Linked DNA regions of Saccharomyces cerevisiae S288C. The protein of the gene in region 1 binds, or shares a complex with, the protein of each later gene. Each region holds a gene or a part of one and is shown in the gene's direction. Other genes may lie near its edges.

Evidence for each region.
Region 2: SNU66 (region 1) and SMX3 share a complex: the UniProt entries of both Saccharomyces cerevisiae proteins name them as parts of the U4/U6-U5 tri-snRNP complex.
Region 3: SNU66 (region 1) and DIB1 share a complex: the UniProt entries of both Saccharomyces cerevisiae proteins name them as parts of the U4/U6-U5 tri-snRNP complex.
Region 4: SNU66 (region 1) and SNU13 share a complex: the UniProt entries of both Saccharomyces cerevisiae proteins name them as parts of the U4/U6-U5 tri-snRNP complex.

Annotation. Positions count from the first base shown.
Region 1 is NC_001147.6:889,768-898,162, reverse strand, and holds SNU66 (U4/U6-U5 snRNP complex subunit SNU66), read left to right. Parts: upstream 1-1,775; coding exon 1,776-3,539; downstream 3,540-8,395. Other genes in the region: RNA-processing protein NOP58, read left to right, coding at 1-1,338; SLY41 (Sly41p), read left to right, coding at 4,071-5,432; MCH5 (riboflavin transporter), read left to right, coding at 6,731-8,296. UniProt on the Saccharomyces cerevisiae protein: Component of the U4/U6.U5 tri-snRNP particle, one of the building blocks of the spliceosome. Required for pre-mRNA splicing.
Region 2 is NC_001148.4:895,360-902,559, forward strand, and holds SMX3 (mRNA splicing protein SMX3), read left to right. Parts: upstream 1-4,834; coding exon 4,835-5,095; downstream 5,096-7,200. Other genes in the region: HDA3 (Hda3p), read right to left, coding at 1-405; E1 ubiquitin-activating protein AOS1, read left to right, coding at 602-1,645; GTPase-activating protein SEC23, read right to left, coding at 2,002-4,308; DPM1 (dolichyl-phosphate beta-D-mannosyltransferase), read left to right, coding at 5,396-6,199; GDB1 (bifunctional 4-alpha-glucanotransferase/amylo-alpha-1,6-glucosidase), read left to right, coding at 6,685-7,200. UniProt on the Saccharomyces cerevisiae protein: Plays a role in pre-mRNA splicing as a core component of the spliceosomal U1, U2, U4 and U5 small nuclear ribonucleoproteins (snRNPs), the building blocks of the spliceosome.
Region 3 is NC_001148.4:701,584-708,960, reverse strand, and holds DIB1 (U4/U6-U5 snRNP complex subunit DIB1), read left to right. Parts: upstream 1-4,304; coding exon 4,305-4,736; downstream 4,737-7,377. Other genes in the region: ASA1 (Asa1p), read left to right, coding at 1-464; YPR084W (uncharacterized protein), read right to left, coding at 619-1,989; MDM36 (Mdm36p), read right to left, coding at 2,368-4,107; GRS2 (putative glycine--tRNA ligase), read left to right, coding at 4,991-6,847; TEF1 (translation elongation factor EF-1 alpha), read right to left, coding at 6,991-7,377. UniProt on the Saccharomyces cerevisiae protein: Essential role in pre-mRNA splicing. Also essential for entry into mitosis (G2/M progression) as well as for chromosome segregation during mitosis.
Region 4 is NC_001137.3:99,081-106,311, forward strand, and holds SNU13 (RNA binding protein SNU13), read left to right. Parts: upstream 1-2,862; coding exon 2,863-3,243; downstream 3,244-7,231. Other genes in the region: YEL028W (uncharacterized protein), read left to right, coding at 1-49; VMA3 (H(+)-transporting V0 sector ATPase subunit c), read left to right, coding at 1,689-2,171; YEL025C (uncharacterized protein), read right to left, coding at 3,501-7,067. UniProt on the Saccharomyces cerevisiae protein: Common component of the spliceosome and rRNA processing machinery. In association with the spliceosomal U4/U6.U5 tri-snRNP particle, required for splicing of pre-mRNA.

The DNA of each region.
Region 1 (8,395 bases):
AAAGTTTCTTCCCAATTAGAAAAACTTCTGGAAGAAATTAAAAAGGACAAGAAGTCGACCTTGATTGTTAGTGAAACTAAACTGGCAAACGCTATTAATAAGTTGGGATTGAACTTCAATGTTGTTTCCGATGCTGTAACCTTAGATATCTATAGAGCTATCAAAGAATATTTGCCAGAATTGCTGCCAGGTATGTCTGATAATGATCTAAGCAAGATGTCTTTGGGTTTAGCTCATTCCATCGGTCGTCACAAATTAAAATTTTCTGCTGACAAAGTTGATGTTATGATTATTCAAGCAATTGCTTTATTGGATGATTTAGATAAAGAATTAAACACATATGCCATGAGATGTAAAGAATGGTACGGGTGGCACTTTCCTGAGTTAGCTAAGATTGTTACTGATTCCGTCGCTTATGCGAGAATTATTCTAACAATGGGTATCAGATCCAAGGCTTCTGAAACAGATTTGAGTGAAATCTTACCAGAAGAGATTGAAGAACGTGTCAAAACCGCTGCTGAAGTGTCTATGGGTACTGAAATCACTCAAACCGATCTAGACAACATTAATGCTTTAGCTGAACAAATAGTCGAATTTGCCGCTTACAGAGAACAGTTGTCCAATTACTTGTCTGCAAGAATGAAGGCTATTGCTCCAAACTTGACTCAGTTGGTTGGTGAATTAGTTGGTGCTAGACTTATCGCTCATTCAGGTTCCTTAATTTCCTTGGCCAAATCACCAGCTTCTACCATCCAAATATTAGGTGCCGAAAAGGCTTTATTCAGAGCTTTAAAGACCAAGCATGATACACCAAAGTATGGTTTGCTATATCATGCCTCTCTTGTTGGTCAAGCTACTGGTAAGAACAAAGGTAAGATTGCAAGAGTTCTGGCTGCTAAGGCCGCTGTCTCATTGCGTTATGATGCTTTAGCTGAAGATAGAGACGATTCAGGTGACATTGGTCTAGAATCAAGAGCCAAAGTAGAAAATAGATTATCCCAATTAGAAGGTAGAGATTTAAGAACTACTCCAAAGGTTGTTCGTGAGGCTAAGAAGGTGGAAATGACTGAAGCTAGGGCCTACAATGCAGATGCTGATACCGCAAAGGCTGCTTCTGATTCTGAATCCGATTCTGATGATGAAGAGGAAGAAAAGAAAGAAAAGAAAGAAAAGAAGAGAAAGAGAGACGATGATGAAGATTCCAAGGATTCTAAAAAAGCTAAGAAGGAAAAGAAGGACAAGAAGGAAAAGAAGGAAAAGAAGGAAAAGAAGGAGAAGAAAGAGAAGAAAGAGAAGAAGGAAAAGAAGTCCAAGAAAGAGAAGAAAGAGAAGAAATAAGGATGCATTTTACATTTTAATAATTAGTGACCCCTCGCGTTCCCTTTTATTTGGATTTAGAAAATTTTCTATAATTATCCAATGCTTAACCTATTTCTCATTTCATATTTTATTCCATAATCTGTAAATTAGTGCTGTACGCCCATATTGAATTGAACTTATTATTTTTTTTAGGTGATATATTTGAAATAGTATACATAATTTATGTTTACATAGTTTTAGGTACTTTATATCATTAAAAGTTTTGTTTAACCTTTAAAAAATTTGTACCATTAGCAGTTATAGGTATTCATATCGTGAACTGCGCAACTTAAAATTATTCGCGGGACGAAAAAGATATACAAAATTTTTGAAAGTGAGCAAAGGATGAGATGGTGCAATCGTTACTATTTGATATTAATAAAAAGGCAATCATCACATCAACCCTTAATTAATTTATGAACAAAACGGAAAACCTTTCTATTGAGGAGACAAATGAAATAAGGGAAAAGCTGGGTATGAAACCTATTCCAGTTTTTCAAGAAAAGAATACAGACCATAAAGAGTCTTTGTCAATCGAAGAGACGAATGAGTTGAGGGCGTCCCTTGGCCTAAAACTTATCCCACCCCAACAAAATTTCAATTCTTCTCCCCCTAATGTACATAACACATCCAAAATCGATGAACTTCGAGAGAAGATAACAAAGTTTCAAAAAAAGGCGAACGCTCCTTTACGAATGGCGCACCTTCTCGAAGAAACTAATGTAAATGACGACAGTTCATGGCTAGAAAACATGGATGCAATTCCTTCCTCACATGAATCCAAACGTTCCAGCACATTGCCAAGAAAAGGCGCCACGAAGGAAGACGAAAATATTGATCTGCATAATGTTCAAGTATCATATAATATCGAGGCGCTTAGCCCAAAGAAAGATACGATTCTAACTTTGAAAGAGAGCAGTATTTTTGATGATACTGATTCTACCGAAGTGTTAGAGAATGTGAAAGCTGCCGAGGAAAACGCTGATAGAGAGAAACTACGATTACGACAAATGAATAAAGATAGAAGACAAAAAAAAAAAATTTTAAATGTATCTAGCTTAGATATTGAAGAAGAAGAAGAAGGAGAGAAACACTCAATTACAACTACACATCTAATCATCGGAGCAGAACAGGGTGTTATGAAGGCACCGAATACTATATCAGCAAAACCACCAACGGGAAAAGTTAAAGTGAATTTCGATAGCGCAAATAATATGTCAGATGAAGATGGTGGAGACTTTAAACCTTTAAAAATTAAAAAACGTAAGATCAAGGACCCAAGATCTACTAAAGCTAGGAAGTCAAAAATTACTGATAAGATGGAAATTGTTAAGTTAGTAGATGAAGATGAAAGTTTATCCTGGATGGAAGAAGAACAGCCAGTCACCATAATAAATCCCAGAACAAGCTCAAACAATGAATTGAAAGGGCCAGAGGACCTCGCTAGAGAAATTGAAAAGGCAAGAGACGAAGAGAAGCGACGCACTGAAAGCATTTTGAAAATGCGTGAAATTTCCAACAGTATTGTCGTCGACGAAAAGGTAACTTTTTTAAATACTTTGGATACCAGTCTCTCCGAACGAAGTGCTACTGAGAATAAAGTGAAAGTGCATGGTGAAGGAGAGAAAAATATCGGAGATGTTACCAATGGACATACTAAGGAAGGGAGTGGAAACAATACACTGACTGAAGCAGTTAATAATGAACCAAACTACGAGGGAGATGCTGAAAATGCACCGAACTTTTTTTCTGGTCTTGCATCAACACTAGGATATCTTCGGAAAAAGAGTGTTTTCACCACAGGAGACGTCGATTTGAAACCAGGAAAGGATGTTAATAATAGTGAATCACTTCGAAGGGATGTCCGAAATAAAGAGCATACGGGCACTGGCACTTATACAAAAGATAAGCTACACGGACTGGAACAATTCACATCTAGTGACTCTTCCAATGCAAATACTCATTCAAAAAGACAAGATCATTATGATCCTGACATAAAACTGGTTTACAGAGACGAAAAGGGAAATCGACTGACTACTAAGGAGGCATATAAAAAACTGTCACAGAAATTTCATGGTACAAAAAGCAACAAGAAAAAGAGAGCAAAAATGAAATCCAGAATTGAAGCAAGGAAAAATACCCCTGAAAATGGTAGTTTGTTTGAATTTGATGACAATTAACCTAATCAGCAAATTCTACTAGCCCCAGCTTTTAATATTCAATATCTTGTTTTTCTCAAGTTTGAAACCTGTGTATAATTGTATTTGGTGTATAAGGCTACGTGGTGGCCTTGAATTCGGAAGTACTTTTCAAACATTAATATTCTGTGATATACATTTGTAAAGACCTTTTGCGTTGTGCCTGAATCTCAAGCCATTGTGTCATTTCACAGCGAAGTGTCATTGTTTTAAGCGATAGAAGCTTGGCGCAACGATCGGATAAAAAAAATTGAAAAAAAAAAAAAATTGAAATGAAAATAAAAACAATCAGATATTCAAAAAATTGAATATCTGTATTCATAAAGAGGAGAAAAAAGAATAAAGAAAAAAAAGAAAAGAACATTAGACTACACGTGCAGCATATACCAACTATTTTTATTATATGCTTATATATGCAAAGCTTACGATATTTAGAGAGTAAGTGGATTGACGATAAAAGTGTTTAATAAGGAGCCATTCGTTTTTATAAAGGAGAAACAATACCGGCCTAACATGATTCAAACGCAAAGTACAGCGATCAAACGACGTAATTCTGTTCATAAAAACCTCTTTGATCCATCACTGTATCAAATACCAGAACCACCACGTGGGGGGTTCCAACACCAAAAAAAAGAATACAGTAAGGAGACATTCAGTAATCAAGTCTTTGGATATGATATTACTAGCCTTAAAAAAAGATTCACGCAACTATTTCCTAGTAATATACAAGGGTACTTACCTGAAGTTGACCTAAGAATAACCATTATTTGTTCTATATGGTACGTCACGTCATCTATTTCAAGTAACCTATCTAAAGCCATTTTAAGAACTTTCAACCATCCCATAGCTCTCACAGAATTGCAATTTCTTGTTAGTGCTGTTCTATGTGTTGGATTTGCTTCCATCGTAAATTTATTCCGACTACCTCGTTTGAAGCATACGAAGTTTTCAAAGGCACTCAATAGTTTCCCTGACGGTATCCTTCCTGAATATCTCGATGGCAATTTCAGGAGTTCTATCCTGCACAAGTTTTTAGTTCCCTCAAAGCTGGTTTTGATGACCACTTTCCCTATGGGAATATTCCAATTTATTGGTCATATCACATCGCACAAGGCGGTATCTATGATACCAGTATCACTAGTGCATTCCGTGAAGGCATTATCCCCAATAATAACAGTTGGCTACTATAAATTTTTCGAACATCGTTATTACAATTCCATGACTTATTATACCTTGTTACTTTTAATTTTTGGCGTTATGACTACTTGCTGGTCAACACATGGCAGTAAGAGGGCTTCAGATAACAAAAGCGGATCTTCATTAATCGGGTTGCTTTTTGCCTTTATTTCCATGATAATATTTGTAGCACAGAATATTTTTGCAAAGAATATTTTAACCATCAGAAGGAAGGTAGGAATACTGCCGTCTTCTTCTACGGATGACGTCACGTCGAAGGAAGGGCAACCGAGTCTAGACAAAACAAGATTTTCTCCATTGCAAGTGGATAAGATTACCATATTGTTCTACTGCTCCTGCATTGGGTTTTCTTTAACCCTATTACCTTTTTTAACCGGCGAATTAATGCATGGCGGTAGCGTTATCAACGATTTAACGCTAGAAACAGTAGCCCTTGTAGCGATTCATGGAATAGCCCATTTTTTCCAAGCAATGCTTGCTTTCCAGTTGATCGGTTTACTATCTTCCATTAATTATTCGGTAGCAAACATCATGAAGAGGATTGTTGTTATATCCGTGGCACTCTTTTGGGAAACAAAGTTAAATTTTTTTCAGGTGTTTGGTGTTATCTTGACAATTGCCGGATTGTACGGTTATGACAAATGGGGGCTTTCCAAAAAAGATGGACGTCAGGCATAATATGAAGTAATACTATTGAGTACAAACCATCATTCAAGGTAGGACACTTAGTACTATATCAAATATATAATCAAAAAAAAAACCCTCGAAGGTCTTTTTTATCTTATTTACTGCTACTACCTCTGTTGCTAGCATTACTTCAAGATCCTAAACTGTTACCCCACCCCCGCACCATATCAAGGTTAAAAATCCGATGTGGCGGTACTTATTTGGTTATTTATCTCATTTACATTAATATGCGTACGGGAATGGCCTTCCGCTCCGTGGAGGATAAAGTGCGGTCATTTTATTATTTTTCGAAAACAATGGCTACAATCCCTTGATTATCTCACATGCGATTACAAAGCAAAAGAGAAGATTCGCATGCAGGAGCCATACACGCGTCTTTTTTAAGGTATTTCCACGATCTCGCGGAAAAACTTATAGAACGAACAACTATTGCTTTAACTAGGAAAGAATAAGAAAAAATAGCGATCATACTAGAACCCACAGTCGAGGCACAAGGATTTTGAGGATTGCTCTACCCCTAATGCCTATTGCTTCGATTGCTGAAAGCGGATCTACTCCTTTTTCCAAGTACTCGAAAGGTTGAGAGAAATAAAAATAGACTAGTCGACGGACAATGCCAATAAAGTTTGGTTATACGAACTGCTTTAACCAAATTAATATTGGACAGACTCCGTGTTTTTTGGTTTTGCCCTTTTTTCCCGCTAGAACGACATTGTGTTTCTCCAAAATTATTCCATCTTTTCCCTCGTGTTAACAATAGAGTCACAACGCACCTGTTATTATGATCTCGGGGGTGGCTTCCCGAACATCGTCGGTTGAATACTGCGCTTTGGCGTCCGAAAAAGAAAAGATAGGAAAGGATCGAATTTTTGACATTTTTCTCAACCTGCTGCGCGCTGTTCTATAGACGTTTGAGGCACCTGAAAAAGAAATACAGCGGAATAATTACTGTTCTGCTGAATCGCCCTAGGCGGTATTGTATGAGGCTAATAATAGAGAGACATCTCTGAAAAGAAACTAGAGGAAAATTTTTCAAAAATATCTATTTTGCTCAGAGAAATGAATATAATAAAGAAGCTATTTGGTTAGATCTCCCAGTAGTTACGGGGACTAGATATATAAACTGCTTGATGTACGTTTGGAAATTCTCAAATAGCAATTCTCTCTTCAAAGTTAGTGAAGGATAGGTTATATCTGTAAAAACATACTAAGATCTGAATAACTAAGATCACGGGGGCATACTATCGATTAAAAAGCTCTGATTTTACTATAGATTAAAAAGAAAAATAATGAGCTCAGACAGTTTAACGCCTAAAGACACTATAGTTCCAGAAGAACAAACCAACCAACTGCGGCAACCTGATTTAGATGAGGATAGCATACATTATGATCCAGAAGCTGATGATTTAGAGTCATTAGAGACTACTGCCTCTTACGCGTCAACGTCGGTGTCGGCAAAGGTGTATACCAAGAAGGAAGTAAATAAAGGAACTGACATTGAAAGCCAACCACATTGGGGTGAAAATACCTCGAGCACGCACGACAGTGACAAAGAAGAAGATTCCAATGAAGAAATTGAAAGCTTCCCGGAGGGTGGATTCAAGGCTTGGGTTGTGACATTTGGTTGCTTCTTGGGTCTAATTGCATGCTTTGGTTTATTAAACTCAACGGGGGTCATAGAAAGTCATCTACAGGACAATCAATTATCCAGTGAAAGTGTTTCTACCATTGGTTGGCTGTTTTCTTTGTTTCTTTTTGTTTGCTCTGCCTCATGTATCATTAGTGGTACTTACTTTGATAGAAATGGATTTAGGACAATTATGATTGTGGGCACGGTTTTTCATGTAGCCGGTCTGTTCGCTACCGCCAACTCTACTAAATATTGGCACTTCATACTGTCCTTTGCCATTGTCTGCGGGTTCGGTAATGGTATTGTACTGAGTCCCCTAGTAAGTGTTCCCGCCCACTATTTTTTTAAGAGACGTGGTACTGCATTGGCAATGGCCACTATTGGTGGTAGTGTGGGTGGCGTCGTTTTCCCAATTATGTTGCGTAGTTTCTTCTCTATGAAGTCAGACACTGATCCAACTTATGGATTTGTTTGGGGCATTAGAACTTTAGGATTTTTAGATTTGGCTTTGCTAACTCTGTCAATCATTTTAGTCAAAGAGAGGTTACCACATGTTATCGAAAATTCCAAAGATGGTGAGTCACGTTGGAGATACATACTCAGAGTTTATATTCTGCAATGTTTTGATGCGAAGGCTTTCCTGGATATGAAATATCTTTTTTGTGTCCTGGGAACGGTATTTAGTGAGTTATCCATTAATTCAGCTCTTACTTATTATGGATCATACGCCACCAGCCATGGAATTTCTGCTAATGACGCCTACACCTTGATTATGATTATAAATGTCTGCGGCATACCCGGGAGATGGGTTCCTGGCTATTTGAGCGATAAGTTCGGTAGGTTTAACGTCGCAATTGCAACTCTACTCACTCTATTTATCGTCATGTTTGTTGGTTGGTTACCATTTGGTACCAATTTGACAAATATGTACGTTATTAGTGCCCTATATGGATTTTGTTCTGGAAGCGTTTTCTCCTTACTTCCTGTTTGCTGTGGCCAGATATCTAAAACGGAAGAGTTCGGTAAACGTTACTCTACAATGTACTTCGTTGTCGGTTTCGGTACTTTAGTCGGCATTCCGATAACAGGTGCCATTATCTCTATCAAGACAACGGCCGATTACCAACACTATATTATTTTTTGCGGTTTGGCAACTTTTGTAAGCGCTGTTTGCTACATAATTTCGAGAGCATACTGTGTTGGCTTCAAGTGGGTCAGATTTTAAAAAGTAAGACAGTGCCCTTTATAGATCTTCAAAAAAGTAATGCAATAATATTTTCTTTTAGGAAATGTGTAGATAGACTATTTAATTAAAATTTCCTTA
Region 2 (7,200 bases), on another chromosome or scaffold:
AATGGCCGTTTCAGTTTCATATTCTTGAACAAGATTTATGAGATCTCTCAAAACGCTGAACTTTCCACTATTTTCCGCTAAATGTGCAGGAACATCACGAGTTATTAACGATTTAGGCATATAATGATCTATTAGTAGGTATGGATGGGTTGCTACCAGTGAACCATTTAAACACATGGTCTTCATAGATTCGAGAATGACGTCCTCTTTGTAGTGTGACGTTTCGAAGTATCTCAAGATATCTGAGTAGTGTAATGATACTATTTGATCCGTGAGTTCTTTTTGATAAAGCGACATTGTAGTTGGCAGCCAATAATCACCGGAAGTATTTCCTGAGATTCCCAGAGTAGTAGCATCAACAATTGTAGGTATTGGTTTCGTGTCTAAAATGCGTAGTAAATCCATACTAAAGGGCAATTAGTTTGTGCTTCTAACTTTCCTTTTTATCATTTTTATAGTCTAAAGTATTTCTTCTCTCTATTGTCTTTAATTGAAACTTTGGAAAACCGCGGTGTTATGGATACTAGAACACTAATGTTATTTTTTGCAGTTATCAATTAAAGTAAAAGAAGAACAAACTGAGTGGATTAAATCAGTAACTATGGATATGAAAGTAGAAAAATTAAGTGAAGATGAAATTGCACTGTATGATAGACAGATTCGTCTATGGGGAATGACAGCACAGGCCAATATGAGATCAGCAAAAGTATTGCTGATCAATCTTGGAGCAATTGGTTCTGAAATTACCAAAAGTATCGTCCTTAGTGGTATAGGGCATTTAACCATATTGGATGGACACATGGTGACTGAAGAAGATTTAGGATCCCAGTTCTTCATAGGCTCTGAAGATGTTGGCCAATGGAAGATTGATGCAACAAAAGAGAGAATTCAAGACTTGAACCCCCGTATAGAGTTGAACTTTGATAAGCAGGATTTGCAAGAAAAGGACGAAGAGTTCTTTCAGCAGTTTGATTTAGTCGTGGCTACAGAAATGCAGATTGATGAAGCAATCAAAATTAACACATTAACTCGAAAACTAAACATTCCATTATATGTTGCTGGTTCTAATGGATTGTTCGCTTATGTTTTTATTGATTTGATTGAATTCATTTCAGAGGATGAAAAATTGCAAAGTGTAAGACCTACCACCGTTGGTCCCATTTCAAGCAATAGGAGCATTATAGAAGTTACTACTAGAAAAGATGAAGAAGATGAAAAAAAAACATATGAACGAATCAAGACCAAGAACTGCTATAGGCCACTGAACGAAGTTTTAAGCACAGCAACATTAAAGGAAAAAATGACGCAAAGACAGTTAAAAAGAGTCACTAGTATCTTGCCGTTAACCCTGTCCTTATTGCAATATGGTCTCAACCAAAAGGGCAAGGCCATAAGCTTTGAACAAATGAAAAGAGATGCGGCCGTATGGTGTGAAAATCTGGGTGTACCAGCAACAGTGGTAAAGGACGATTACATACAACAGTTTATCAAACAGAAAGGTATCGAGTTTGCTCCTGTCGCGGCCATTATAGGGGGTGCTGTAGCGCAGGATGTCATTAACATTCTAGGTAAAAGGCTATCTCCATTAAATAATTTCATTGTTTTTGATGGTATTACATTAGACATGCCACTTTTTGAGTTTTAGATATATACATACCTACTATACTGTAGTTTCAGCCAAAAAAAATAATAAAAAAAGCATAATTGGAGGCAGTAAAGCATTATAGTCATACACAATAATAATAATAATAATAATAATAATAATAATAATAATAGTAGTAGTAGTAATGGTAATAAAAAAGTTAGAAAAGAAATTAGATACAGATATTCGTAGTAAAGGCCACGCAGTACAAAAAAGACGGAGAATATATTATATAAAATCCTCTACTCTTTTCGTTCAGGTCCAAAGGAAAATTCTTGCACGCGCAATGGACTGAACAGGCCTTATATTATACAAAAAGCCTAATAACGATCAAATAAAACAAAAGAAAGCCGTTGCTCCTATGCCTGACCAGAGACGGCTACTTGTTGTAAGTGAGTCATGAAATTTTGTAAGGAAACATCATCTGTTAAGACAATTGTAGATCCTCCGCGCGCCATGTCTTGATAGTTATCGGAAGGATTCAATTTAGATAACAAGAATCTGGCTTGAGAACCACCGGCTTCAGTATCAATGAATCTTGGTAGCGGGAACCTATCTACTAACAATTCTGCGGCTTCTAATTTTGGCTCTTCAAGAAGAGCTTTGAAATCTGCGTACTGTGGATCGTCTTGGTAACCGGCTTTTCTCCATTGAGCGATTTGCTCACCGTGGTATATTAAGATGAAGAAAAATGTATCTAATAATAGAATGGTATTGGGTTTGACGGAGATAGAGTCTAATAATACCGGTTGTGGATCGTCCTCCATTGAGAAAGAAGTTAGAGTTGGTTGAATCATGATTAAAGAATTAGTCGTATCCTCTCTTGTGAAAATATGTCTATAAAATGCAGTTTCATCCGGAGAATTGTTAAAGACACTTAAGAATTGGGATCTTCTTAAATAATAGGTAAATTGAGGATACAGTGAGAAATTTGGAGCCAACCTGAAAGATTGAGGATCATCTTTATTATAGTCGGCGTACTTTTGACATAGCTTAATCAAAGTTCTGTCTAACCATCTAATAACATCTGCACCATCATCGGTTTCAGCCTTGTGAACAGCAATACGAGCCATCAAAACGGCAGCAGCTTCTTGATCGAAAGAAGCTGCAATGGCAGGAGTACCGAAGGGCAAAAGCTGGTTTGCGACCGTGGTGACTCTGATACGGTTGGTACCAGAGGAGTGTTGATAAGTAGTGATGAATTGAGTATATGCTAGATGAGGTCTATCTGCTGAACCAGGGGCAGACATCATTGGGTTAGAATTAGCCGCAGTGTTTGCAATTTCAAAGAAAATCGCATACGAGTGATAAGGCGATAAGGAAGCCATCTTCCAGGTGGACGTTGCACCTATACCGATTTCAGATTCACTGATGTTGTTAGCGTCTGTCTTCTTTACAGCAGAAGCATGCCCAATCAAACCTTGTACCTTCAAGTCTTTACTTGTCTTGACTGCCATATTACCATTGAAAGCCATCTTCAAATACCCTTCTTCATCCTTGGCAAACAATCTCAAGTATGATTGCTTAAAAATCGCGGTAGAGAAGGCATCGGTTAGCAACAACACACCTCCAGTAGAGTCGGTCAACTGTTTCATTTCAGACATACCGATTTGATCGTAACAACCGGCAAAAATATCAACAGTGTGTCCATTGGCGGCAACTCTTTGTGCAATCTGGTTGTAAAACTTACAGGCCTTCTTGTAATGTTGCGCGTGATCAGAATCGATGTCGTGGTGGGATCTTAAGGGATCTTTTAACTCTGAGTTAACAATCAAACCTGGGGCCACGGTGCCTGGACCGGAGGCGAAAAGAATGATTCTTGCTGGGATGTTCTTATAGCAGCCCTGTAAAAGCAAAGATGCAATGTTCAAAGCGGAACCTGTGGCCCTTAATGGCCTATGACCCGCTGGAACAGACCATTGGTCTGGAGACAGATTTTCCAGTAATTGATTCAGTTTGAACTCGACCTGTTCCAAGGGCAGGAAGAACCTATTCAAAGAGAAGGGCGTAACTTTGTTCATGGCGTTCGGTAGATGAGATGCAGCACCGCCGGGGCCGGTAGGCTTTTGGCCGGTCAACATTTCCGTCAACGCTTCGAGCTGGTACTCCCTGTCTCCTCTGAACACGTTGCACCTGTCAATAGTTTCGCTGGACAGATCGTGCAATTGAACAACGTTTCCGTAAGTGATCAACCCAATCAGCGCGTTGGGAGGTAATAGAGACAAAGAAGTGATGATAGACTCCTTTAGCGAATCGAGGTTCTCGGTTTCCGAAGTCAAATCCACAACAAAGAAGAAAATGGGAGGAACGGTAACGGGCTTATTGGTGATGTACTCAATGGTGGTGGACTGTAACTCTAGCGGCATATTCTCCTGTGACAAGTTGGTGTACTGTGGAGGTAAATGGTTCCTGGAGTTACAGATGGGACAACTCCAGGACGAATTGCGCGGATCAATCACACAGTAAGGATTTAGAATCGACTTACAGTGTGGACCGGAACACACAACTGGATTGTATGGGGCAACGTTCAATTCGTCATACTCCTTCAAAGGTGTGTACAAACAGCCCACAGGGACGACGTTGCTGTTAGCGTCGCTTCTAGTAGAGGGAAACACGTTCCAGGTGAAACGGACCCCGTTGATGTCTTCATTAGTCTCGAAGTCCATGGCTAGAAAAGAGGAAGGGGAGGCAGGCGACAGACAGATAAACACTGGCTTCAGTTAATTGTGTGTCTTGCTGAACGTGGAAAGATCACAACAAGTATCTTTTTTTCTTTTTTCAAACGTGTTTTTCTTTTATTCTTGCTAGAACTTTCCTCCTTTGTAACAAACGAGAGGCGGCGGGCTAGTCGTCGCAAGCGACAAATCTCAACTGACAGTAAATAACGGTGATAAAACAAAATTAGCGCAATCTCTCAAACTACTGAGGACAACCAACTTGAATTGCACTCTTCCAAGTTGTAGCATGGCTTGGGGGGTGTGTGATCCCATCCTGTATTATGGCAAAGCAGGCAAAACAACCGCTCTGCCGTCCGGGTAACTTTTCTTGTTCCACCTCTTTTCCCCAACATATATGAACATGAGATGGTAAGAGCAAGAAACAACGGTTCTATGAGCAACGCAAAAACAGCACAGCACACACAGCACCGCGTACTATACCACACCACACACTACGTCACAACACAACAAGACAATGAGCGAGAGCAGTGATATCAGCGCGATGCAGCCGGTGAACCCGAAGCCGTTCCTCAAAGGCCTGGTCAACCATCGTGTAGGCGTCAAGCTTAAGTTCAACAGCACCGAATATAGAGGTACGCTCGTGTCCACGGACAACTACTTTAACCTGCAGCTGAACGAAGCAGAAGAGTTTGTTGCGGGTGTCTCGCACGGCACCCTGGGCGAGATATTCATCCGCTGCAATAACGTGCTGTACATCAGGGAGCTGCCGAACTAAGACGACTGTGCTCATCTCCCTTACATACCAGTATATTTACATACGCCCTCTACTGTAATACAATATCATTCTATAGCACTCGCATCGCGTATTTTTTTTTTATTTTCTTGCTTTATATTGTTCTATTTTTCTTCCTTATTCCTGCCTCTGGATTTCCCTCGCATGACAAATAGCGTGGAAAAATAAAGGATTTCCAGTATTTGAAAAATTTTCAGTATTCTTACGTGTTCCTAACTCATATAGACCGCTATTGTAATAACGCTATCGCTTCAATTACACACAAACATACACGCACCCACAATGAGCATCGAATACTCTGTTATCGTTCCCGCTTACCATGAAAAGCTGAACATCAAACCCTTAACAACCAGATTGTTTGCCGGCATGAGCCCTGAAATGGCCAAGAAGACCGAGTTGATCTTTGTCGATGACAACTCACAGGATGGCTCCGTTGAGGAGGTGGACGCCCTAGCTCACCAAGGCTACAACGTCCGCATCATCGTCAGGACAAATGAACGTGGTCTATCCTCCGCCGTGCTTAAGGGTTTCTACGAGGCCAAGGGTCAGTACCTGGTATGCATGGACGCAGACCTACAACACCCTCCAGAGACCGTGCCCAAGTTGTTCGAGTCTTTGCACGATCACGCCTTTACTCTGGGCACCAGATATGCCCCAGGTGTCGGCATTGACAAGGACTGGCCTATGTACAGACGCGTCATTTCCTCCACTGCTAGAATGATGGCCAGACCTTTGACCATCGCCTCCGACCCCATGAGCGGGTTCTTCGGTCTACAAAAGAAGTACCTCGAAAACTGCAACCCTAGGGACATCAACTCGCAAGGTTTCAAGATTGCCCTCGAGCTTCTCGCCAAGCTTCCTCTTCCAAGAGACCCTAGAGTGGCGATCGGCGAAGTGCCATTCACTTTCGGCGTGAGAACGGAAGGTGAATCCAAACTGTCAGGTAAAGTCATTATCCAATACTTGCAACAACTTAAGGAGCTCTACGTCTTCAAGTTTGGCGCCAATAACCTTATCCTTTTCATTACTTTCTGGTCCATTCTGTTCTTCTACGTTTGCTACCAGCTATACCATTTGGTCTTTTAAAGGAAGTGAATGGTAACGAAAAAAAAAAATCTTTCTTTATATGTCTCTTTAAGTACTCCCTTTCAGTTATATGCCTTTTATTGTCTGTCCCTATTCTAATCCTCTACTCGGGCCATCATTGTTAACGTAATATTTGCCCTAGGGTAAAAACATTAGGTTGATTAGGCCATAACTCATTCTGCCCCACCCCCACACATAGGGTTCAGGAACTTGGTTTTCAACCCTACTGCATTGTTTCCCACGCGGCGCTACCAAAATATATCCAATTTTCTTTTTTGTCACAACAGCAGCAACCCCTTGAAATGGCCAATTCTTCTCGAGACTTTGCTCCCTTAATCTTTTCTTCCCCCCCGGTTTCTTGATGATTATATATACTAACCTCGTATATTACACACTGTACTTGAAGTCACTCATATCCGAATACTACTTCTCTTAACTTCCAGTCAACCCGACACCCACAATCGTCCTTAGTATATAACTGCTTTATGAATAGATCATTACTGCTACGTTTGTCGGATACCGGTGAACCCATTACAAGCTGCTCTTACGGAAAAGGTGTCTTGACGCTACCACCAATTCCGCTCCCTAAGGACGCCCCAAAGGACCAACCGCTCTATACGGTCAAGCTACTGGTATCTGCAGGTTCCCCTGTCGCTAGGGATGGGCTAGTTTGGACTAATTGCCCACCAGATCACAACACGCCCTTCAAGAGGGACAAATTTTACAAAAAAATCATTCATTCCAGCTTTCACGAGGATGACTGCATTGACCTGAATGTCTACGCTCCAGGCTCGTACTGCTTTTATCTATCTTTCAGGAACGATAACGAAAAACTTGAGACAACAAGGAAATACTACTTTGTTGCCTTGCCCATGCTTTATATAAACGATCAGTTCCTACCTTTGAATTCCATCGCTTTACAAAGTGTTGTATCGAAATGGCTGGGCTCTGACTGGGAGCCCATCCTATCGAAAATTGCCGCTAAAAACTACAATATGGTA
Region 3 (7,377 bases), on another chromosome or scaffold:
ACTTACAACTTGAGACGAAATACCTTAGAGATGATGCGCTTTTGATAAAATGCCCAAGCTCACTGAGAGTCAGTGAGCCATCAAAAGTACATCTTCCCTTGAAGAATATTGGTCATATTGATAAAGTAAAAGACGATTACTTAGTCGTGAGTAGTTGGTCAGGTATGACCATTGTTTATAATATGCGGACTTCAGAAGTGGAGCAAACTTTTGTGAAATCAAAGAACAACCTGGTCGTGAGTGATAGCTCTATGGGAGACCTAACAAACGGTAGCGGCTCAAATACCGAATCCAGCTCGAAATCCCATAACTATAAAGTGGGAGCCATGACATGTTTGGAATCGTTTGATGTGCAGTCAGATGGGTTGAGGTTAGGACAACTTAGACGTATTAAAGCGCTGGCGAAATGTAACTGGTGTTTAATTGGATATGAAGATGGTACCATAAAGCTCAATAAAATATAATTATTTTTTTTCCTTTTCTGTTTACATGGTTTCAGAAAGAACATTTGTATATATACATACGTGCCTATATATACATATTTCCTCAATCCAAGTAAAAAAAAGTGCGATGTATCATGGTCATAAGAATGTTAAAGGGAGTTCTTCCCTCTATCAATTATTTTATAATTTTCTTCAACATATTTTTGTTTAAGCCGGCATTGTTGTTTTTCTTCTTGTCATTCATTAAATGAGAGTTGTAAATTGAACTTGAATTACCACTACTACTACTTCCATTGGAATTAGAAACCAGTAGCTTCATCTTTTCTGATATTTCCTTTATTAGTAAGCTAACCGCCACATCGACATTTAAATCATCCATGCTGTCTATTCCAACAAATCCATATTTCCATTTTGTTGCTAGTTGTCTTCCCATTTCAATCAACATTGGGCTTGCGAGTTCATGATTAACGTGAGAACAGACGATAATGCATGGTGGTGGTGAATCGGGAGATGAGGGGTCTAACTCGATGGATTTTAGTTTGGTATTATAGGATCTCAATTGCTCTATTTTGGCGCTTTTCTCTTTGCTATTTTTACTCCATAGATGTCTCAGGCTGTAAACCAATGAGTAAATATCATCCTCTTTGCCTTCCTCCCATCTTTTTTCATAATTTCGAAATTCAGTCCAAGCATCTAGTATGCAGTTTCTAATCACTTTTAAAAGTTCAAATCCACCATCGCTGACGTTTTCCGTATCTGTGTTCATCACATCATCTCCATATTCCGGAGGGCCTCCAATATGGTTTAATTCAGGGACTGCGCTATACACCAAGATATAACCGTCAACTTTACCATTCAACTCAGAGGCACCAGAGGCAACCAATAGTGAAGTAGTAGATACAGGTCGTCTTGGTTCATCTGCTAGTCCATGTAGGATTGATTTTCCTAAATTTCGGAAGAGAGAAACTTCTAAGAACGGCACCACATTATCAGGACTGAAGCCAGGCGTATCAATAATATCAATCTGGATTGGTGCATAAGTGGGTGGAATGTAATTCAGGGGCAATTTAAAATGCTCGATAACGTTAAGCTGGTCTGCCTTGATTTTAGGAACACTTTGAGAGTTAATGTCATTGGAAAAAGTTTGATACAGCGGAGAATCAGATTTATCCAAAGATAGGGATCTCCTGGAGTGGCTTTTGTTGTGTAACCTCACTGATTGAAAATTATCAGTGGAAGCTTGAAACACCAATGGCGACAGCAGTACATTTTTGGAGACCTGAGGTGAAGGGAAGATAGGCTCTAAGGTTTGGCTGCTTGGGGAACGAAGGCAAAGTCTTTCGTGAGCTTGTTCGTCTAATATAGCTCTGGCCAGGATCGATGACGGAACAAAGCCGAAAAGCCAGTTAGTTTGGTTTCTTGTTGGATAATGAACCTCGTGGACGATATTAACAGTAAGCCTAGATACCAGGGAGGTCTTTCCGGTAGAAGTGCCCCCCAGAACGGCCAGCCGTATGGGTCTCTCTTCAGAAGCCTTCTCTGACATTTCTATAAAGCTCTATGATGGACGAGTCAAGAGAATAAAAGCTTGGCTGCGTCTTATTGAACTCTTGGGATAGGAAACAACGTACAGAGTTCTAAAAACACAACAGTTTATTGATAGTTAGTTTTGCATCGATGTTATTAGTGTTTTTCAACTGGTTCACTATTTTTCAGGCTTAAACTCGCTGCGATGGGATTAAAAAATAAAAGATGGATGTGAGTAGTATTTGGACTTCGCAAAGACATACGCACAAAACTATTGTCGAGAGGATGCATGCATTGGTTGTTATATGTGTTATGTATGATAAAAGTCTTGCTTTGTATTTATGTACTCAACCCTCGCATTTAGTTTGTTTACATAGCAATGATATCCTTATTCTTATCAAGTATTTTGTGAAGAAGGTTGATTGGATTTATAAGATTTCGATACCGGACCACCACCGATACCATACAAAGTATTCAGAACATTGCTGTGAAACCCAATGTGGTTTGTTGGAATAAGTTTTGTGCCGTTGAGGCCAGATCGCGATTGGTTCAACCATTGCGACATATTGTTCTTCAGCGTTTGCGATTGTGATTCCAATAATGAAGAGGAAGGAGACAGTGGTAATGTACTCATACGAGAACTTGATTGTGATGGCGCCGTGGATATAAAGGACGATGACATCGGAGGAGACGGTGATGCTAATGTGGAGTTTTGGGAGATGATGGAGGATACACTTGAAGACATAGCATGTTCATTCCGTCGTATATTTGAATCAGTATCTTTCGTGCTATGTTTGTTATCGTTTACTTTGCATGCGTTTTGCAATTCTTGTTCTAGTCTTCTTGCGTTGTTGAAGGCAGTTAATAAGCTAGGAAGTTGTTTCTGCAGAGAAGTCCTTTGCATCATCAATGACATATCTGACGTGGAAGAGGATAACCTTCTTCCATCTAGACGATCGATTTCTCCGTTTGATAAATTGTCGCTATCTGATGAGTTAATAGGAGTCAAATCATGTGTCAACATGGATGCATCCACAATGCTATTGACAAATGAGCTGATATCTTCGATTTCCTTTGTCTCATCAATAACGGGAAGGTTATTAGTATGATCGTTCTCCGATGTCGACGATGGTGATAGTAGTCTTTCTTGTAATGCTTTGTTTTCGTTCAAAAGCCAATTCAGGTTTAAAGAGTTGTACATCGATTCTATATCCAAAAAAACGTGTAAACATTCTTCAAACAAAGAGGAGGATGGAGATCCCGATTCGGAGTCCTCCAATTGTTGAATAAATATCTTAATGAACGCTCTGTATGATTTTATTGTTTCTGCCAATTTCAGTTCGTTCTCATTATTAACCGTTTCGTGCTCGTTTTGCTCCTGTAAAAAATGCCATATGGTCACTAATTCATGATCAATAAGCAAAAGTTTGGACCTAACAAAGATACCTGCAATCTTCATCCTTAGACGGCGCAATCTCTTCATAGAGTAGATCCAACACTCTAATAACAGGGTCATCGAATTCTGCAAAAGCCTGTCAACCCTGTTGTCTTCTATTGTATTGGACATTATGAAATCTCTAATTTGGTCAATGTCCCTTGACAGCGACTCAAGTGCAAGGGAAGACTTCTCGCATTTTTTGATGCATTTTAAGCTTAAATCTTTATAAAAGCTATCGTCCAGATTACCATTATGATTATCATCATCATCGTCGCCGCTATCACCGGCGCTATTCTTATTTCCACCAGACGTTTCTACTTCAAATTGAATTAAGACACTCTTGTGAAGGGATCTGATATACCATGATTGGTGAATAACAAACTCTAGCTTGATAATATCCGCTAATATCTTAACTAGAGCATCGCATTTGTTCAAAGTAGCTTTGGATAAATGCAAATCTTCCTCATCATTCAGCATAGATTTTCCCTCCACCTTGCGTTTTTCTTCACTAATCATTGAAGTTATCCAGCTAGTGTTGCGATTACCATTGATATCAGTATCTTCCTCGTCTGCAGAATCATTGAGACCAGCCCTATGAAATTTGCTAACGATGGGATCCTTATCCATATTTGACCTCGAATTTCCCGAATTGAGTCCCTTTAATTCATAGCCAGGCTTTACTGTACCGTTTTCATCCATGCTATAGTAGTAAGTGTTCTCTCTGGAGGGTTTTTAACTGTTTCTTTGCTGTTGTACAGTTTACTGCGAGGAGATGACTCGTTGTATTTCTTTTGGGCCAATGACCGCTTCGCAAAGTGGAAAAACAGAACTTACATACCAAATTCGATCATCGGATAGAAATAGTACGTAGAGAAAGAGTAAGAAGTCAAGTTTTGATGGCTAGTGTTTTGTTGCCTCAATTGCGTACGGGATGGCATGTGGATCAGGCTATTGTTACCGAGACTAAACGACTTGTTGTCATTCGTTTTGGTCGCAAAAATGATAGACAATGTATGATCATGGACGAGTTGTTATCTTCGATTGCTGAAAGAGTAAGGAACTTTGCAGTTATTTATTTATGTGATATAGATGAAGTTTCAGATTTTGATGAGATGTACGAGCTGACGGATCCCATGACAGTAATGTTTTTCTACCACAATAAGCACATGATGTGTGATTTTGGTACAGGGAACAACAACAAGTTGAACTTTATTGTAGACGACAAACAAGAAATGATTGACATATTAGAAACTATATTCAGAGGTGCCAGGAAGAACAAAGGGCTGGTGGTCTCTCCATACGATTATAATCATAAGCGTGTTTCATAATTCATAATAACTATGTAGGCTAGGCGCACGATGTCTTAACAATTCAGTGAGTAAGTAATGAATAACCTTGACAGAATATAAAAGGTCGAAGCATATTGATCAGTTCTGATGAACTGTTCGTATGAGGTCTAATTTATGAACCTGCGATAGTAGTTGCAACCCTTTTTTTCTTTTAGACAATGAAAGTGAAAAACGATAAATGTGATACATTAAAGAACATTTTGTTGGACTGTTGAAAGACATATCACATCAACATGCCGTTAATGTCCAATTCGGAAAGAGATAAATTGGAAAGTACATTGAGGAGAAGGTTTTTCTACACACCCTCGTTTGAGATATATGGTGGTGTGTCAGGTTTATTTGATTTAGGGCCTCCGGGTTGTCAGTTGCAAAATAACTTGATTCGACTGTGGCGAGAACATTTTATTATGGAAGAAAACATGCTTCAGGTTGATGGGCCAATGCTAACTCCTTACGATGTGTTGAAGACTTCTGGGCATGTAGACAAATTTACTGATTGGATGTGCCGAAATCCTAAGACTGGGGAATACTACAGAGCAGACCATTTGATTGAACAGACGTTGAAAAAACGGCTGTTGGACAAGGATGTCAATCCACAGGATATGAAAAATATGGAGAAAATATTGACCACGATTGACGGGTTTTCGGGTCCTGAGTTGAATCTCGTCATGCAGGAATATAACATTAATGATCCAGTCACTAACGATGTTTTAGACGCACTAACTTCCTTTAATTTGATGTTCGAAACTAAAATTGGAGCCTCAGGACAATTGAAGGCCTTTCTAAGGCCAGAGACTGCACAAGGACAATTTCTCAATTTCAACAAATTATTGGAAATCAACCAAGGGAAAATTCCGTTTGCTTCAGCTTCCATTGGTAAGTCATTCAGAAACGAAATTTCCCCCAGAAGTGGGCTTTTAAGGGTAAGAGAGTTTTTAATGGCAGAAATTGAGCACTTTGTTGATCCGTTGAATAAGTCACATGCAAAATTCAATGAAGTGTTAAATGAGGAGATTCCACTACTATCACGCAGATTACAGGAAAGTGGTGAAGTCCAACTGCCTGTGAAAATGACTATAGGAGAGGCAGTGAATTCTGGAATGGTAGAAAATGAAACATTGGGATATTTTATGGCAAGAGTTCATCAATTTTTGTTGAATATTGGGATCAACAAGGACAAATTCAGATTTCGCCAGCATTTGAAGAATGAAATGGCACACTATGCCACAGATTGTTGGGACGGTGAAATTTTAACATCGTATGGTTGGATTGAATGTGTCGGTTGTGCTGACAGGGCGGCTTTTGATTTAACTGTACACTCCAAGAAAACGGGAAGAAGTCTGACGGTAAAGCAAAAGCTAGATACACCAAAAGAAAGAACCGAGTGGGTTGTGGAAGTGAATAAGAAATTTTTCGGATCGAAGTTCAAACAGAAAGCAAAATTAATCGAATCTGTTTTGTCAAAATTTTCCCAGGATGAATTGATTAGGAGGCATGAAGAACTGGAAAAGAACGGTGAATTTACCTGTCAAGTAAATGGCCAGATCGTAAAACTAGATAGCAGTTTGGTTACTATCAAAATGAAGACAACTTTGCAACATATACGAGAGTACATTCCTAATGTCATTGAGCCCTCGTTCGGTTTAGGTCGTATCATATACTGCATCTTCGACCATTGTTTCCAAGTTCGAGTGGATAGTGAGTCAAGAGGCTTCTTCTCTTTTCCATTACAGATAGCGCCGATCAAAGTATTTGTTACGACAATATCGAATAACGATGGCTTCCCCGCTATACTTAAGAGGATCTCGCAGGCTTTACGTAAAAGAGAGATATACTTTAAAATTGACGATTCCAATACTTCAATTGGTAAAAAATACGCCCGTAACGATGAATTGGGAACACCATTTGGTATCACCATAGATTTCGAAACTATAAAAGACCAAACGGTGACGTTAAGAGAAAGAAATTCTATGAGGCAAGTAAGAGGCACTATTACTGATGTGATTTCGACCATTGACAAAATGCTTCACAACCCTGATGAATCGGACTGGGATAAATCAACATTTGGACTGTCGCCTGTTAAGATATAACTGAAAAAAGAGGGGAATTTTTAGATACTGAAATGATATTTTAGAATAACCAGACTATATATAAGGATAAATTACAAAAAATTAACTAATAGATAAGATTTAAATATAAAAGATATGCAACTAGAAAAGTCTTATCAATCTCCTTATTTCTTAGCAGCCTTTTGAGCAGCCTTGGTAACCTTAGCGGCCTTTTCAGTCTTGTCAACAGACTTGATAACACCGACAGCGACAGTTTGTCTCATGTCTCTGACAGCGAATCTACCTAATGGTGGGTATTCACTGAAAGCTTCAACACACATTGGCTTAGATGGAACGAACTTGACCAAAGCAGCGTCACCGGACTTCAAGAACTTTGGATGGTCTTCCAACTTCTTACCAGATCTTCTGTCGTTCTTTTCCAACAATTCGTCGAATCTACAAGCAATGTGAGCAGTGTGACAATCCAAAACTGGAGAGTAACCAGCAGAGATTTGACCTGGATGGTTCAAAACAATGACGGTAGCGTTGAAAGAAGCGCAACCCTTTGGTGG
Region 4 (7,231 bases), on another chromosome or scaffold:
AACGCAAGAACTCAATGCCTTCCAACATCCAATTGTCGAGTTTCAGTAAGTACTCAGGTATTACGTTATGTACATGTATGATAATTCTGATTAACATCTTTTATACACAAAGATGTATGCATGAATGGTGCAAATATCTCGACGATGCGCAGTAAAGAAAGCAATTTACTACTAACGTCTAGCGATATCATAGATGATGACAGGATAACGATATAGGTTAGATGGATATTGGAGTAATTGTCAAGTCCCATTTTGATTGAAGACAACATTATTAGGCCTACAGAGTTGCTAAAATTCTCCACTAGGTCACAGGAGTTCGCAAAAGAGAATCAACAATCTACATAACCATGCACACATTTCTTCGTCCTCTACGTTATAATTTACTGCTCTAAAAGCGTCACTTCTCCTTTCATTTTATGTTTTATTGTTCATTATCCTACTGCGTTATCAATCCTTACATTTCGGCTTCCACTAAATTTAATGACTGCTTCTCATCATTTCATGTCTTCTAACGCCGTATATAATAATATCCCAGCAAAATATAACTGTTAGTTAGTGAATCATAACCGACTGTTACTCCTGCAATATCCATGGGAGAAATCACCATCGGAAGGTAAACTAACACGTAGGTATTGATTCTACCGGAAATGAACAAATGTCGTACTGCCCAAATGAGCCAAATGCCATCATATACGCCTTCATAACTATATTTGAAAAATACCTTTGCCTAAAAGACGAGTGGTATTGGAAACTTCAATTAGTGTTCAAAAATGTCCAGTGAGAGGATGAAGTTGTCGTGGTTGAAACAGCATAAACCACCTAAAATAGTATCAACTGACAACAACTGTGGAACACATGCGGTTACTTTTATAATTAACCGCAAAATACCTGAAATGAGCTAAGAAATAGTAATTATAAACATGCCACTACAAGTAACAGATTAAGTGATATGTTGGCGGACCTCAATATAAGCGACATGGAGAGATAGAGATAGAAGAATTTGTTATTGTGTTAATAAATAAAGTTAACATCCAGTTCTTTCAAGTTGGCTAAGCGCCGTGGCGCAGTGGAAGCGCGCAGGGCTCATAACCCTGATGTCCTCGGATCGAAACCGAGCGGCGCTAATTTTTCATTTCTTTTTGCCCGCAACAATAACACAGATCGCAATCATTTAAGCTATAGACTATAAGCTTTAACTTCTGCGTTATTATTAATAATTGTTATTGTTTTAGTTAGGTATTTCTATCAACTTATTTTATATATTCTATATTACAGTTTTCTTTTTTTACAAATTCACCCAGCAATTATTTATTATTAATTGTACATCTTCTTTAATAATGAATTTATTATTGCACAATATTCAACTTAGGAAAGATAGAGGAACTGAATTCTTTATCAGCAATGAAATAGGCCGTCTACGGCCGTCTACGGCCTATTCCATTGCTAAAAATTTGAATCGTATAAAGGGATATTACCCGGAAAAGAAACGCATTAAAAAAAAAAAAAAAAAAAAAACAGAAAAAGTGGTTAAGTGATTGACTGACCCTTGATAGTTTTGTACAATTATACACTCGTTCTGATTAAAAACTTGTTTATAAAAATCTTTTTAAAAGAAAGAGAAGATCGTGTTTATTGCTTTTCTCAAAAAGACTAATCAATTAGAATAACAAAAGAAACATATACATATAATGACTGAATTGTGTCCTGTCTACGCCCCTTTCTTTGGTGCCATTGGTTGTGCCTCTGCAATTATCTTCACCTCATTAGGTGCTGCTTACGGTACTGCTAAGTCTGGTGTTGGTATCTGTGCCACTTGTGTGTTGAGACCAGACCTATTATTCAAGAACATTGTTCCTGTTATTATGGCTGGTATCATTGCCATTTACGGTTTAGTTGTTTCCGTTTTGGTTTGTTATTCGTTGGGTCAAAAGCAAGCTTTGTACACCGGTTTCATCCAATTGGGTGCCGGTCTATCAGTCGGTTTGAGTGGTCTAGCTGCTGGTTTCGCTATTGGTATTGTCGGTGATGCAGGTGTTAGAGGTTCCTCTCAACAACCAAGATTATTCGTCGGTATGATTTTGATTTTGATTTTTGCTGAAGTTTTGGGTCTATACGGTTTGATTGTTGCTTTGTTGTTGAACTCCAGGGCTACTCAAGATGTTGTCTGTTAAGGCAGCTTCTGAATCACTAAAGCAGGAATAGAGTATACAAAAGAATCTTTTTGTGAGAAACTATGAAAACTATCAAAATTTTTCATCTTAGAGATTGTTTATAGCCCCTATTCTTACTTCATATCCAAACTACCTCATTTCAAGCTTCCTTTTTATTAGTACCATTATTATTGTTTAAAAGAGTATTACACGCTAAATATGTATATCTTAATTTTTAATGTGTATAAAATAGAAAATTTGAATATCAAGGAGCAACAAAGAGCATTATGCGTTTTAAGCTACACAATGGGTACGATGAGATCACTATACCTGTACTCTTAAAAGAGGCCCAACCTTATCAACTTCTATTGTTAAAGTAGACAATTGTATCGTTTCTTTTTCTTATCGGTTTTATCCGGGTAATAAATTCAGCATATAGAAAAATTTTTCATTTCTATTTTCTTTTTCTTTTCATTTTTCCTTTTTCTCAGAAAATTTTTTTTTCTAATGCTGGAATGAGATGAGTTAGAAAATTTTTCACTTTAAAACTGATTATTCTGGTTAATAGTGCTTATTCCTCTTAGTGTTCAAGTCCTACTTTCAAATCTTAATTTAAATCATCATTCGAGCGAGCTTTCTATACCAGGACCATACTGATTATTGCAAGGAACTTGAATAAACCAGATTTCATACTATAAAAACTATATTAAAAATGTCTGCCCCAAACCCAAAGGCTTTCCCATTAGCCGATGCTGCATTAACCCAACAAATCTTGGATGTCGTTCAACAGGCTGCTAACTTGAGACAATTGAAGAAAGGTGCCAACGAAGCTACCAAAACTTTGAACCGTGGTATCTCCGAATTCATCATTATGGCTGCTGACTGTGAACCTATTGAAATCCTATTGCATTTACCATTACTATGTGAAGACAAGAATGTTCCATATGTCTTTGTTCCATCTAGAGTTGCTTTAGGTAGAGCTTGTGGTGTTTCTAGACCAGTTATTGCTGCTTCTATTACCACCAACGATGCTTCTGCTATCAAGACCCAAATCTACGCTGTCAAGGACAAGATTGAAACTTTATTAATTTAAGTAGATTGGATTATATCTATCAACATAGTTTTTGTACCATCTATATACTATAAAAAAGTTTTTTGCTTTCCACTAGTGCAGACGCTAATAGTGCTGTTTTGTTAGTGGTATGATATATGTCATATCTTCATTGAATAACCTACTCGAGTGCATCTGTAAATGCACAAACATGTATTATCAATTGAGCTGTAGTAATTTAGGCATAACAAAAAGGTGCAAGATCTCATGGCACCTATTCGTTCGTAGGAGATTTATTGTCACCTTTTTAGTTTTACAGGATCGAAAAAATCTATGGTCTTGTATGGTGAATGATCTATATGTCTTCTCTTTGAATTTCTAGCTAGCTCATCAAAGCCGCTTTCATTTATTCCAGTCTCTTTACTCACGGAATATTGTTTAGTAACATTTCGCATGCTTTTCTCAGACCTTCGAAAAGCTCTTTTACATTCGAGCTTGATCTTTTTGTAATCATGCAACGTTCTCATCCACAGCTCACCAATGAATTCCGATATTATATAAATTTGGCCCTCAGTACCGCAAAGTAAAAATAGAGGTATGACGCCTTCCAACCTTTGACTATTGAAATTTGGACATATTTGAAGGTTTTGAAATCCATCTGGGATGGCCGCCAGTGAGATTATCTTATTAGGTAACCGAATTTTGAGGTATGGCATAGCCAACCCGCCCTTATCAACTGATAATTTAGAATCTTCGTATATTGTCAAGGTATTATCAATACCAATGGTGGCAACATAAGATCTATTGGAATATTTCAACGTTGCACAAGAAAGGTCTGATAATCGACCTAATAGATAGTTCTTATCACTCGCTAAACAATCGTTTTTAGGTTCTCTTAGCTTCTTAGGAATTATTTTAGTCGCCACTTGTGTAATGCTTCCCAACCGCTTAAAACCCAAGTAGGGACATTCAGGGTACTCTGATGGATATACTATGGACGTCCTAATTGGAAAGCGGGTTCTCAAAAAATCTCTCAAGATCTCAAATTGAACCAGATAATCACCACTCATATAAGCTGGAAGACCTATATGGTTAATCGATGAAAGTGCTGGGAAGGAATAGGCCTCTAAAATTTCCGCGCCCTCTTTTAGCATGTTTATTTTATATGCTGCTATGCCACTATCACCAGAAAATAAAACCAAGTTGCACTCATAGTATATGAACACCGAGAATATACAATCTTCGAGATAATTCGCGTACAATTGGGTAATGTTATTGTTTCTAATTTCAAACAGCCAGAATTTTGTACGTTTTTCACCAACTCCTAAGCATACAACAAACTTATTACCATAAAAGGGTCTCTGTGATAAGTAGATTGAGTTTTGTTCTGGCCACAGTGGCTTCACAACGGCATGTAAATACTTTTCATCCGAGAAACTGAATGTGGAAACTGCCTTCATTGAAGCATAATTGAATAGCATCAACTTATACTGCCTACTATTGCTATCGACCAAACACACCACGGCCTGATTGAGGTTATTTGGAACAGTATAGAGCTCTACGGGAATGCTAGGGAGGTAAAAGATATGATTTTCTAATTGAGGTTTTAATGAAGTCATCTGCTTAGTGAAACCTTCACGGTAAAACGTGCTACCAAACTCAAAGATGCTTATTCGAGAATCATAATCTAAAACACAAAGAGAGAACAGTGCTTTACCGGGTCGAATTCTCATTCGTCTTGGAACTAAGCCTAACTGTATGCAACCATAAGACATGTTTTGAAGATTTAACAAAATTATTTCCTTATCGTTGTAAAGGAAAACCAAAGGTAAGGAAGGAATCGTATCCAACAGTTCTAATTTCTGATCGTATAACGAATGAATCTCTAAATCCACTCTCAAAAAATTTGATTCTGATTTGTAGACTCTTACGCAGCCAGTGTATGATGATGCGATGACATAAATCGAGTCGTGTTTATGCTTTTTGCTTAGCCAAGATATTTTTATCAATTGATCATAGGCTATGAAAGAATAGTCTGGATGTGATGTAGCCACTTTCTTTTGATTGGCATTCCATACCGAAAACACACCGTCCAAGTAAATGACAAAAAGGTATTTCTCGGCACCATCTGAGAAACAGCTCACAATACTCTCTTTAGAATTGAGCCCATGGATAAAAAATTCTTCTTTTTTACGTAGAAAACCAGATTTTGCCTCAAGTATCGAAATCCTGAGCTTGGAGTTCTGTACGGGATAACAAAACATGGTGGAAGAGTTGTGGTTCGACTGCAAGAAATCGACCTGCCTAAATTCTCCGGTAGAACCATCCATACCGGCTTTCAAAACTTTTCCCGTCCTAGAAACAAATAGACCGTAATCATAAGGCTCATCCATTAAAAATATTCCGTTCTTATAAATCAACCCACCTGATTCATATGCAAATTCGTCACCACCATTAAGTGCTAAATCTGTAACCCAAAAATCAGTTACATTCTCTACTAGCGCTTTGGAGGAAGTCACTAACTTGAACAGGGTTTTGTCATATACCAAAATTTTCTTTTCTAAAAATCCTCTTCTTGAGTTAAAACTTCCACCCAAAAGCAGTGAATCAATATCTGTCCCCTTGTTTCCAATAACTTGTGATGCCAGGTAAACTTTGTTTGTATAAGCGGGACCGCTTTTCACCTTTTCTAATTTTGAACCTCGATGATCTTTCGATATAAAATTTACTCCATTTATTCTTGTCACCGCTATATACTTTTCACGTGGGAGCTGCAAAATAACATCGCATAGATCATGTTTAGGAGGCTTGAACACTCTTTCTTTTGTCCATTGTAGTTCTTTCAGGACGTGGTCTCTATGTAACGACCTAGTGTGTATCTTGGCAGTGTATTTGTTAGCATACACGTCAGAAATTGTCAAGAGAATGACTGATCTTTCATATATCACATCATAAGAATCTTTTAGAAATTGGTAGTTTTCTACATTTGGGAGACCTTTATTATTGAAAAAAGCCCCGTTTGTAAGCCCACTTGCTTTTATATTTATTATTTGAGTGTAGTTAGTAGTCAACACTACAATGGTATGGCCGCAAACTACCTTCATATAACAAAATTCATTATCACATATCGGCAAAAGATTGTATTGGCGGTACTCGTTTAAATCAAATTTCCTACTTCCATGCTTTCCAGCAAGATTGTATTCCTTTAAAAACAGGTTTTCACTATAGCAACTCTTAAGTAGGCAAAGAAAATAAACGTGTGATTTACCTGTGCATGTGGCGTCGTCAAGCAAATCCTCCCTGCTAATAAAATCAAAGGAGATAATTTCTTCGCCATCGGTGGCATAAAATCTTTCGACTATTCCTTCTCTGAAGTCAAAGGAGTAAATTGTCGTACATAACGTATGCAAATCACTATCATATGATATGTTTTTATTGCAAGTGTATAAAACACCCTCAAAGGAAGCATTTAACCAGCTGGAAGTTAATAAAGAAATAGTATCCAGTTTCGGAGCCACATTAGAGTCGTAGATAATTTCAAATTTGTTATTTTCGCATTTGAATCCCTTAATGGAACCGTCGTTAAACATTAGCAGGTGACAGAAGGAAGCTGACATGAACATCGGTACAGTTGCGTAGTTAACAACGAACGGTCCATCTAAAGCGAACTCAACCTTCGCTTTCAATTCGTTGGACGTTCCGGTATACAATCCATAGCTAAAACATAAAAAGTAACTTCCTTCGTGATGAAGACAACTTACCAGCTTCTCAGCCTCATCTTTTGATCTATAAGATGTTATGCATAAAGGTAAAAAGGCCGAATTGCTATCCAATTTTTTGCAGTCCGTTTCATCTTGTCTTGCCATTTTACGTGGCAATGGCTAGTGCAATATGCAATGCGCTAACGCTGACATTATAACACAATATATTTTTCTACCCTCCCTTTCGCTGAGTTGCGACCAGAATGTCTGTTTTTCAGTCATGTATTTCTTTCCGCTTTAGGCGTTCAGGCAAGCGCGTTCAGTTGAAA